Saccharomyces cerevisiae S288C: one gene and its partners. The protein of the gene in region 2 purifies or fractionates together with the protein of the main gene of each other region. This does not show direct contact. Each region holds a gene or a part of one and is shown on either strand. Other genes may lie near its edges.

The links.
Region 1: the proteins of URK1 (region 2) and LAM6 purify together in Saccharomyces cerevisiae (affinity purification with mass spectrometry, with the first as the bait; one large-scale study listed by BioGRID). This does not show direct contact.
Region 3: the proteins of URK1 (region 2) and BNA1 purify together in Saccharomyces cerevisiae (affinity purification with mass spectrometry, with the first as the bait; one large-scale study listed by BioGRID). This does not show direct contact.

What each region holds. Positions count from the first base shown.
Region 1 is NC_001144.5:277,177-281,801, forward strand, and holds LAM6 (Lam6p), read left to right. Parts: upstream 1-1,685; coding exon 1,686-3,767; downstream 3,768-4,625. Other genes in the region: RGR1 (Rgr1p), read right to left, coding at 1-1,450; RFU1 (Rfu1p), read right to left, coding at 3,843-4,445.
Region 2 is NC_001146.8:645,179-649,437, reverse strand, and holds URK1 (uridine kinase URK1), read right to left. Parts: upstream 2,007-4,259; coding exon 501-2,006; downstream 1-500. Other genes in the region: PHO91 (Pho91p), read left to right, coding at 1-410; DEAH-box RNA-dependent ATPase PRP2, read left to right, coding at 2,488-4,259. UniProt on the Saccharomyces cerevisiae protein: Catalyzes the conversion of uridine into UMP and cytidine into CMP in the pyrimidine salvage pathway.
Region 3 is NC_001142.9:470,280-473,273, reverse strand, and holds BNA1 (3-hydroxyanthranilate 3,4-dioxygenase), read left to right. Parts: upstream 1-1,602; coding exon 1,603-2,136; downstream 2,137-2,994. Other genes in the region: YJR026W (gag protein), read right to left, coding at 1-514; methylthioribulose 1-phosphate dehydratase MDE1, read left to right, coding at 2,310-2,994.

The DNA.
Region 1 (4,625 bases), on a different chromosome or scaffold from region 2:
ACAGCTCCGATCTGATGATTCTAGCATGATTGAACATAATTTCATCCAAAATCCCTTCGATATTAGATACAATATTGTTATAAATTACAGGCATATTTTTGGCCCTTGATGCACTCTGGTTGTCCCATTTTAAGATAAGACTTTCTGTTGTTCTTTGAATGCCAATAGTGATCTTACCCTTACTGTCCATTTTCCCATTCAGCCAATATCTAACTGTAATTGTACTTTTTTTAGAGTCATAGTTATGGATCAAATTACTTTTGGAAAATTTACCGCCGTTGGCCAGCTTTAAAAACTCTCTATGAACCATGTATAGCTGTAATGTCAACACGTATTTGTGCAGAAAATTGTATAGGGATAATAATGGATCATTACTTTTCAAAAGAATTTCATTGATCAACTTCTCTAATCTTGGCTTATTCAAAGGAAGGTTATTTCCGTTGGAACTTGAGTTTTCTTCATTGTTCTCACTATCGCCGTTAGTCGAAGTAGCTTCTGTAACTGCTGAAACAGTTTGTTCAGCTTCCGTGTTAAACAACAATTTTAAATCCACAAAAAACAGAGGGGACTGTCTATTAACAGTCGATAACTGGATTTCAAATTCATTAGGGACAGTAAAGTAGATTCTACCGTTTTTGATATGATAGCTGTTTAATGGTTTAGGAATGTTCATTAATGCAATTTTTATTGAGACAGTCAAGTTCAAATCTTTTAATCTCTGTAAAATCAATCCAATGGGAACTTTGGCCATTCCATCTACCATATCCATAGAGTTACTGACACCGCTTAATTTAAAGTTGTGTGTAGGTAGATTTGGCCTCCCAAGACTCAAAACTTCCAAAGCGGTGACCAAATCCACGTTGGGCAATTTAGCATTGGTCATAGAGTTTAGACTGCTTTTCAAAGCCCAAATACAATTGTTGACATTCATGTTAGTCGTTCTAAACCAGTTCAACAGATCGATTAGTACGTGAAAGTTGTTTTGTTTTATAGTACGGGTCCATTTCACAAGCACGTAAAGTTTCAAAAATTGTGTCCTTAGGAATATAATCAGCTGTAAGAAACGTATTTTCTTTGCGGAGTTAGGCTCATTTGCCTGGGTGTGAACATTAGTTTTCATGTACTGAGCAAGTTCCTTCATTGTAAATACCGTCAAGTTCCTTATTACTAATGCCAGACTGACTTGATTAATCTCAACATGCGGCAACGCTGGCGGAGGCGCACTTGTCATAGTCGCTGCACTTGTATCTTTCGGTACCATTTCTAGAGATTCTTTTTGGGTGGCCGTAGTTTCCGGGTCGGTTGCAGAAGGGCCATGCAGTTGAGTGTTCTTAACGGGACCCTGTTGCTCTTGCCCATTCTGCTCGGACCGGTTCTTCAGTGCGTGCATCTCGTTAGAAAGTCTCTCCTCATTAGCCAGCATTTGTGGGGATCCTATCGTGGTAGTCATTGCCCAGCCAAGAAAACCCTATACTTTCCTGCCACTTTTTAACTCTTTTTCTGATGATCTTTACAACAGACCTCTACTAAACAATTGAAAAATTCACCGTTTTTACTTGAACCAGCGACCGTGCGATGGGACAATCGTTTAGTTAACAATAAGCGGGACAAAGTAATTAAATTTAGTGGCATCTAGAGAGAATAATTGAACGCAATGAAGAGAGCATGGTACGTTGAATTGTAGAATGTGGGGGGATAGTATGCGCGAGCTTGGTGACGCTATGGATAATGAGTTGAATGCAGTGAAGCCGGTGGTGGAAGAAGGTGGCATGGATGGTGCCAGAAAATTTATTAAGGGTAAGAGCTTTCAGAAGTCTTCTACCGAACATATGTTGATTTCGCCCGGTAGGGATGGTTCAGTGCCATTGAATGGGTTGAAATCGTCGCCGGCAGACCCGCACTTGTCTGATGTTAATTCTATCTTGGACAATCATCGTGGCGGTGGCGAGACAGCTTTGACGTCTGTAAATAATATTATCATGGCCACTTCGACGAATGGGGACAGTGATGGGGTTGATGGAGATGCCAAGAGGCCGTCTATTTCTAACTGTTCGTCGAGATCATCATTTTTTGACACCGTACTGAGCACGTTTTCCCTAAAATCAAATTCACAAGATACGGTTACTAATGAAGTCAAAAATATTGAGGTCCAGTTTGCATCCGAGGAGGCTAATAAAAAATTCCGCCAAATGTTCAAGCCATTAGCTCCTAATACGAGACTTATTACGGACTACTTCTGCTACTTCCACAGAGAATTCCCCTATCAGGGCAGAATCTATCTCTCCAACACACATTTATGTTTCAACTCAACCGTGTTGAACTGGATGGCAAAGTTACAGATTCCCTTGAATGAAATTAAATATTTAGATAAGGTCACCACAAATTCAAGTGCTATTTCGGTGGAAACCGTGACTAACAGGTACACTTTTTCCGGATTCATAGCGAGAGACGAGGTTTTCCAATTGATTACAAGAGTTTGGTCAAAGGAAAACTTAACCAATATCAATGACGTTTTGGAGGTTGATGAGAGGGTCTCCAAGAAAAAGGGAATATCATCGACCCCTTCTTCCATATTCAACAATGTTTCTACCAATGCATATAACGATTTCATATCGACAACCACTACTGAACCAACAAGCAGGGCTTCCTACATGAGCGAGAACGACATGCTCATCGAGGAGGCCATAAGGTCCGTGGACGATTACATGGGCACACCAAGAGCATCGCCATCTTCTTCATCTTCGTCGTCATCGTCGTCATCGTCTTTAGGCTCTTCAACAACTTATTATTGTAGGCCCGTATATAGGTTAAAGCCAAACGCACCATTTCAATATGAGGGGCCATTCCATGTACAAGAAACCATGGACTTTCCTTATAAACCTGAGGCTAATAATGAATACGTGCTTCTGGAACGTCAATTCAGCGTTCCACCCGGCCTACTTTTCATTATGATGTTCAATGAAGATAATCCAGTTTTTGAGTTAAGCTTTTTGAAAACTCAAGATTCGTCCAACATCTCACACATAGGGACTTTTGAAAAAGTCAATAAAGATGGACAACATTACAGAGAATTCCAATACACCAAACAGCTGCATTTCCCTGTGGGGCCCAAATCCACAAACTGTGAGGTAGCGGAAATTCTTTTACACTGCGACTGGGAAAGGTACATAAATGTTTTAAGTATAACAAGAACACCAAATGTTCCTAGTGGTACCAGTTTCAGCACCAGAACGAGGTACATGTTCCGATGGGATGACCAGGGGCAAGGTTGCATATTAAAAATAAGTTTTTGGGTGGACTGGAACGCATCCAGTTGGATCAAGCCAATGGTAGAGAGCAATTGTAAAAATGGACAAATTAGCGCCACTAAGGACTTGGTAAAGTTAGTCGAAGAATTTGTAGAGAAATACGTGGAATTGAGCAAAGAAAAAGCAGATACACTCAAGCCGTTGCCCAGTGTTACATCTTTTGGATCACCTAGGAAAGTGGCAGCACCGGAGCTGACGATGGTACAGCCGGAGTCGAAACCAGAAGCTGAGGCGGAAATCTCAGAAATAGGCAGCGACAGATGGAGGTTTAACTGGGTGAACATAATAATCTTGGTGCTCTTGGTGTTAAATCTGCTGTATTTAATGAAGTTGAACAAGAAGATGGATAAGCTGACGAACCTCATGACCCACAAGGACGAAGTTGTAGCGCACGCGACTCTATTGGACATACCAGCCAAAGTACAATGGTCAAGACCAAGAAGGGGAGACGTGTTGTAACAGAGTAATCATGTAATATTGTATGTAAGGTTATGTATGTTCGTATGGTATGGAAAAAAAAAAAAAAAAAGGATGCTATGTGGAGAATGTAAGGCGTGGTAGCTCCGGATAATTCAGTCTGTAGGCTTCATCACGGGCAGTGGCCTGACTCTGAGAGCTTGCTCCGGTATTAAGTTGTGCGTTTGAAATTTTCTGGAAAAAAGAAATTGATTGGTTGAAGCTATACTCGTCGAAAGATTTCTTCGGCAGTGGTTGTTGCTCCACCTGCACGGGAGTTGTGTTTGCGTTTATGTTCGGCTTGGCTATATTATTAGCGAGTGATGTTTGCAATTTGCTGTATTGAGAATCAATTTGGGTGCGTAAGCTTTCAATAATTTTGCAGACCGCAGGCACTTCCAACTTTATGAGTTGCAGGTATTCTCTTTTATGAATATACGATGACGACGATGACGACGACGCATCCATGCGCAAAAGCTCAGGGTGTCTAGATAGTTTGTTAGTCAATAAATCCACATATCTAAAATAATAAATAAACGACAGCGACAAGTCGTTGGCCTGGAACGCACACTGTGCCTTTTCCAATATGCCGATGCATGTTTTCAGGTAAATTCTCAATGGTATCGCCGGATTGAAGCGATAATCCTTAGCGTCCTGAACCAATTGCTTACTAGACTTCATGACCTACCGGGGCCAGATAAAGATGCGGAAGGAAGAGAAAAAATGTATAGTGGTTGGTGAACCGCAACAATAATTCGTGCCAACACTTTAATCGAAGCAAAAATTGTCTTGTATGTTATTAATATTATCTATCTAACCATTGATTTACGTATAAAACTGTCGATGCTCATCGCCTAGCAA
Region 2 (4,259 bases):
CCGGTTTATTGTCTACAATGGCACAGTTAATTAAGGCGCAGGTTGAGCATGAACCAATCTTCATTATTGTGTTGATCTTCGGTCTAGTGATTCTTGTAATGGCCACTTTTGTCTCCCATACCGTCGCGGCAATGATCATCGTACCATTAATGAGTGAGATCGGTTCCAATCTACCTTCAGGTGATCATTCTAGACTATTGATCGTTATAGCCGCCCTATTATGCTCTAGTGCTATGGGTCTTCCAACCTCTGGTTTCCCCAACGTGACTGCCATTTCAATGATTGATGAAGTTGGTGATAGATATTTGACCGTGGGTACATTTATTACGAGAGGTGTACCAGCCAGTTTGTTAAGTTATGCCGCTATTGTTACAGTAGGTTATGGCATATTGAAAGTAATGGGATTTTAAGATTATCCATAGAGAGAATGAAAGGTTACTAATATAGTATGTATACGTGCACTATTATTTAATTTTACTTTATATTGCCTCTAATTATTCTCAATCACAACCAAAATACTTTGAATCAAAAAATCTGGTCAATGCCCATTTGTATTGATGATTTTGTAACTTTTCTCTGGAGATGATCATACCAGCAAAAATGTTGACTTTGTTATCAAATGCATTTAATATACGTCGGATACCAACTTCAGTGGCCAAATAAACCACCACGCTAATCTTTTCCAAATCAATACCATGATCTAAAAGCACCTGGATGGCCATGATCATGGCCGCACCACTTATGATTTGACCTTCCATTAAGAAAACCTTGCCAAACTTTTCTATATTTGGGGGTAAAAATTCGCAATGCAGTTGAGGTTCCCCAGTTTGTGAATCGGACTGAATCAACAATTTACCAATTGTGATATTGGGGATCGTCTTTCTCAAAGACTTCATAAAACAATCGCCAGATCGAATAATATTAACAGCTGTAACTTGATCGAATTGACAGGCAATAACGTTTTCCATGGTATGCTCACCAGGTGTAATTATGTTCGTATGTGCTACAGGAATGTCATCAAGTGCCCATGATAACAAAATTGTTGCTAACCTGTCAAAGTAGAAAACAAAGTCCGCGCAATTTAGATTTTTATTTAGAAGCATAGTATGCAGCGAAAGAACTTGGTTGGTGGGCGGCAATTCATGAATTATGTTACGATTAAGCACATCTTGTGAAGGAGAAGAGCCCAATTTGATTAGCTCTCTTAAGTGTTCATTTGATTTTAGTTCCAGTTTTGACTTGATGTGGTTAATGATTAAATTTACCGCTGTAGCATTATCACTCATCGATGGAATGATAGCATCTGCATTCTTCATTGTTGGTTTCACAAACTTTACCGCATTTGGTTTCACAAATTTCTCCCATTGTTGAATACAACCATCCAAATCTCTCCCTCTGGAAACTATATCTCTCGACAATCTTCTTGCTAAGCAGACATCCAAATCAGCGTCAACATAAATTTTCAAGTCCATCAAATCCAGCAATCGGCGATCGTAAAGGGCGTAGATCCCTTCGATAACTACCACACTGGCCCCGTATATGACTATATTTTTATCAGGAACTCTATTGTGGTGGACGAAGCTATAAACTGGGATATTTGTCCTTTTGCCCTCCTTTAAGTTCAAAATGCACTTATATGCCAAATCTAAGTTGATGGCATTTGGCTCGTCGAAATCGTATTCATTTTTAAAGGCTCTGGCTCTGTCCTCTGGGCCTAATGGATTGTAAAAGTTATCCAAAGATATTAATACTGTCCAGGGAACATTAATTGACGACACAATCTTAGCAGCAACGCTTGTCTTGCCTGAACCTGAAGCACCACCTATACCTATTATATATGGAGTTGTCCATGGTGGGATATACCGAGAGCTTTTTCCTTTTGTTTTTTTGACATCTACTTCACCATCCATGACTGCATTAGCTTTCAATGTGTCTCTTGTTTCATCGTCTAAAATTGAAATAAATGATGAAGATCGTTCTTTGGAAGGTGCTATACGATGGGACATAATAAATAAAATAAATGCGAGTTCGAAATTAAACGTATGAAATTATCGAAGATGTCGCATATAAATAGTAAATAAGACGTTATCCAAGGCCTACAGCCTTACGAAAAAAAAAAAAAATCACATCTCTTATCTTATCGATCTAAATTTTTCAGTTTCCTTTTTTCATCTCGAAGCTCATCGCATGAAAAAAAAACTTCGATATGTGAGCGTATTAAGACAATAGAGGAAATAGTGAGAACAAGTGGGAAAATTAAAGACTAATCATCGAAAATATGCAAGAATTCTTTAAGTGCTCGTATCTCAAATGTAGCCAAAACAGTACTAGCCCATACAACCTGATGACGAGAACGTGCTGAAAGTGGAAGACAGTTAGTTACCCGGACAATTAAAAAGTGATATTAATCAATTGTATAAGTAATAACGGATAGCTGCTATATGTTTAATTGGCATCTATATAGATAACAAGCGTGTATAGCAACACATGTCAAGTATTACATCTGAAACCGGTAAGCGAAGAGTGAAACGAACGTATGAAGTTACAAGACAGAATGACAATGCAGTAAGAATAGAGCCTTCTTCCTTGGGTGAGGAAGAAGACAAAGAGGCCAAGGATAAGAACTCTGCCTTGCAGCTAAAACGATCACGCTATGACCCCAATAAAGTTTTTTCTAATACGAACCAAGGTCCAGAAAAGAACAATTTAAAAGGAGAACAACTTGGATCACAAAAAAAGTCATCAAAGTATGATGAAAAAATAACGTCAAATAATGAACTTACTACAAAGAAGGGTCTACTAGGTGACTCCGAGAATGAAACTAAGTACGCCTCTTCTAATTCTAAATTTAACGTAGAAGTTACTCATAAAATAAAGAATGCAAAAGAAATTGACAAAATAAACAGACAACGCATGTGGGAAGAACAACAATTGCGAAATGCTATGGCGGGGCAAAGCGATCACCCTGATGATATAACATTGGAAGGCTCTGACAAGTACGATTATGTGTTCGACACAGATGCAATGATTGATTATACTAATGAGGAGGACGATTTACTACCTGAAGAGAAACTTCAATATGAGGCACGTCTAGCACAAGCTTTAGAAACTGAGGAAAAGCGTATACTGACTATACAAGAGGCAAGAAAACTTTTGCCTGTACATCAATACAAGGATGAGCTACTACAAGAGATCAAAAAAAATCAAGTTTTGATTATAATGGGTGAAACCGGTTCTGGTAAAACCACACAGTTACCCCAATATTTGGTAGAAGATGGATTCACTGATCAGGGAAAGTTACAGATTGCCATAACACAACCACGTCGTGTGGCGGCCACTTCTGTTGCTGCAAGAGTAGCAGATGAAATGAATGTTGTGCTTGGGAAGGAAGTGGGTTATCAGATCCGTTTTGAAGACAAAACAACCCCAAATAAAACGGTTCTAAAGTATATGACGGATGGTATGTTACTAAGAGAATTTCTTACAGATTCCAAATTAAGCAAATATTCTTGTATTATGATTGATGAAGCTCATGAACGTACTCTAGCCACAGATATCCTGATAGGTTTGCTGAAAGATATTTTGCCGCAGAGGCCCACTTTAAAATTGCTTATATCATCAGCAACAATGAACGCAAAAAAATTTTCAGAGTTTTTTGATAATTGTCCCATTTTCAACGTTCCTGGGAGAAGATATCCTGTAGATATCCACTACACATTACAGCCGGAGGCAAACTATATACATGCCGCTATAACAACTATTTTTCAAATTCATACTACGCAAAGTTTACCGGGGGATATATTGGTGTTTTTAACGGGGCAAGAAGAAATTGAAAGAACAAAAACCAAACTGGAGGAGATCATGTCTAAATTAGGTTCTAGAACAAAACAAATGATTATAACTCCTATATACGCAAATTTACCCCAAGAGCAGCAATTGAAAATTTTCCAGCCGACTCCGGAAAATTGTAGGAAAGTTGTTTTGGCAACTAATATTGCGGAAACTTCATTGACCATTGATGGTATTAGATATGTCATTGATCCTGGATTTGTTAAGGAAAATTCGTACGTACCCTCCACTGGAATGACCCAACTTTTAACAGTTCCATGCTCAAGAGCTTCAGTTGATCAGCGTGCCGGTAGGGCTGGTCGTGTTGGGCCGGGAAAATGTTTTAGAATTTTTACCAAATGGTCATATTTGCACGAGTTGGAACTTATGCCTAAGCCTGAGATCACAAGAACAAATCTTTCTAATACGGT
Region 3 (2,994 bases), on a different chromosome or scaffold from region 2:
GTGGTCTGACATATTTTTTAGTGGATGTCATATCAGAGTCCGCTGAGGATGAATCAGTAAATGTATTACCTGACTCAGGTGATGGAGTGCTCAGAGGCGTTCCAACTGATGATGGATACTGCGGAAACTGTGATTGTGGCCCAGGTGGAAAGTACATAGGCGACATTTGATAAGGTGTATACGGAATCATAGATGGGTGTCCGTAAAATGACCAACCAGATGGATTGGCTTGGTTTTGGGTCATCATGCACTGCTGTGGGTACGGCCCATTCTGTGGAGGTGGTACTGAAGCAGGTTGAGGAGAGGCATGATGGGGGTTCTCTGGAACAGCTGATGAAGCAGGTGTTGTTGTCTGTTGAGAGTTAGCCTTAGTGGAAGCCTTCTCACATTCTTCTGTTTTGGAAGCTGAAACGTCTAACGGATCTTGATTTGTGTGGACTTCCTTAGAAGTAACCGAAGCACAGGCGCTACCATGAGAAATATGTGAATGTTGAGATAATTGTTGGGATTCCATTGTTGATAAAGGCTATAATATTAGGTATACAGAATATACTAGAAGTTCTCCTCGAGGATATAGGAATCCTCAAAATGGAATCTATATTTCTACATACTAATATTACGATTATTCCTCATTCCGTTTTATATGTTTATATTCATTGATCCTATTACATTATCAATCCTTGCGTTTCAGCTTCCTCTAACTTCGATGACAGCTTCTCATAACTTATGTCATCATCTTAACACCGTATATGATAATATATTGATAATATAACTATTAGTTGATAGACGATAGTGGATTTTTATTCCAACAGCAACATGTTAAAACGAAAGCTGATGTTTGGAAGCCGTCTCGAGTAGGCTATACCGACATATTTTCCCAGGAATATAAAGGAATTGTTGTTGCGATAAAGTTTGTGATCTGTTCTGATGCTGAAGGAACCTTGTACCCGAGAGAGTATAACTCCCGTCTCCATGATGTAAAAAGACTTGGGAGAACAGGACTGTCATTCACAGATAAAAAGGAGGCGTATTTACTCGAATTTAAAAACCAGGACGTTGTAGATCATGTTCATAAGTTAATCTTGCCTTTTAACACATCTTGGCAATCTAACTAGATTCGTCCAATTGTATTTTTACTTCAATAATCTTACATAATAATAAAAATTTTTCTATTTGTCCAAAAAAAAAAAAAATAAATAAAATAAAAAAAGCTACCGTAATTCATGCGTACAGTAACTGGCTTCCTTACTATACCAAGTTTATTCTTTGATTGCGCTGCCAAAATAGCCTGTCAAAATTTGCGCGGATGTATTTTCGACGTCAACGGTGCCATTATTTTTCTGTCACTGACACCTGTACTCCTGAACGGGTATCGGCATTTAGAACGCTGCCTCCAAATGTCTGGTGAACGTTCGTGAATATTCAGAGTGTCGTTATTGCAATGGAATGGCTGCCTTTGTGACGGCGTCAGGATAAATTGTGAGTCACTGAAACATATTCGGCAAAGTAAAAAAACGGACGTAAAAGATTCTTTCTTTATTCTTTTCACGACAGTCTACAAGTAACTGAAATAGCATACATTTACCAAAAAAATCGAAAAAAATGTTTAATACTACACCAATTAATATCGACAAATGGTTGAAGGAGAACGAAGGCCTTTTGAAACCACCGGTGAATAATTATTGCTTACATAAAGGGGGATTCACTGTGATGATTGTCGGTGGGCCTAATGAAAGAACCGGTTATCACATCAATCCAACTCCCGAATGGTTCTATCAAAAAAAAGGATCTATGCTTTTAAAGGTTGTGGATGAGACAGACGCTGAACCAAAGTTCATTGATATCATCATCAATGAAGGCGATTCATATTTATTGCCAGGAAATGTTCCTCACAGTCCTGTTCGGTTTGCTGATACTGTGGGTATTGTTGTGGAACAAGATAGGCCTGGGGGAGAAAACGATAAGATAAGGTGGTACTGTTCTCATTGTCGCCAAGTGGTCCACGAGAGTGAACTGCAAATGTTAGACTTAGGTACCCAAGTGAAAGAAGCCATTTTAGATTTTGAAAATGATGTCGAAAAGAGGACATGTTTCCATTGCAAGACGTTAAACTACGCACGCCCTCAATCTAATTAAGTATTAGAAGAGTTGTTAGTTGTACTTTTATAGCTCTCTTGTTACGTAAGATTGCGGCACTAAGATGCGGTGCCAATTTTTTTTTTTTTTCTCTTGATCAAAGCAGCTAGCTGTTCATCAAGATATGTAACGTTTTTAAGCACTGAACTAACAAGGGGAGCCAGTGAACGACTATGTCTTCACAAGATGTTCTGATACATTCAGATGATCCGTGCCATCCAGCAAATCTCATTTGCACGCTATGCAAGCAGTTTTTTCATAATAATTGGTGCACCGGAACTGGAGGTGGGATTTCAATAAAAGATCCTAACACGAATTATTATTATCTCGCCCCATCTGGGGTGCAGAAGGAGAAGATGATACCTGAGGATTTGTTTGTCATGGACGCTCAGACATTAGAGTATTTGCGCTCTCCCAAGCTTTACAAGCCAAGCGCATGTACTCCATTGTTCTTAGCGTGCTACCAAAAGAAAAATGCAGGTGCTATAATACATACACACTCCCAAAATGCTGTGATATGCTCCTTGCTATTTGGCGATGAGTTCAGGATTGCTAACATCGAACAAATCAAAGCAATTCCAAGCGGAAAGGTGGACCCTGTGACCAAGAAACCCATGGCGCTATCGTTTTTTGATACGCTGAAGATTCCCATCATTGAAAACATGGCGCATGAGGACGAGTTGATCGATGACTTGCACAAGACTTTTAAAGATTATCCAGACACATGCGCCGTAATTGTGAGGAGACATGGCATTTTTGTTTGGGGTCCGACAATCGATAAGGCCAAAATTTTCAACGAAGCCATCGATTATTTGATGGAGCTGGCCATAAAGATGTACCAAATGGGGATTCCTCCCG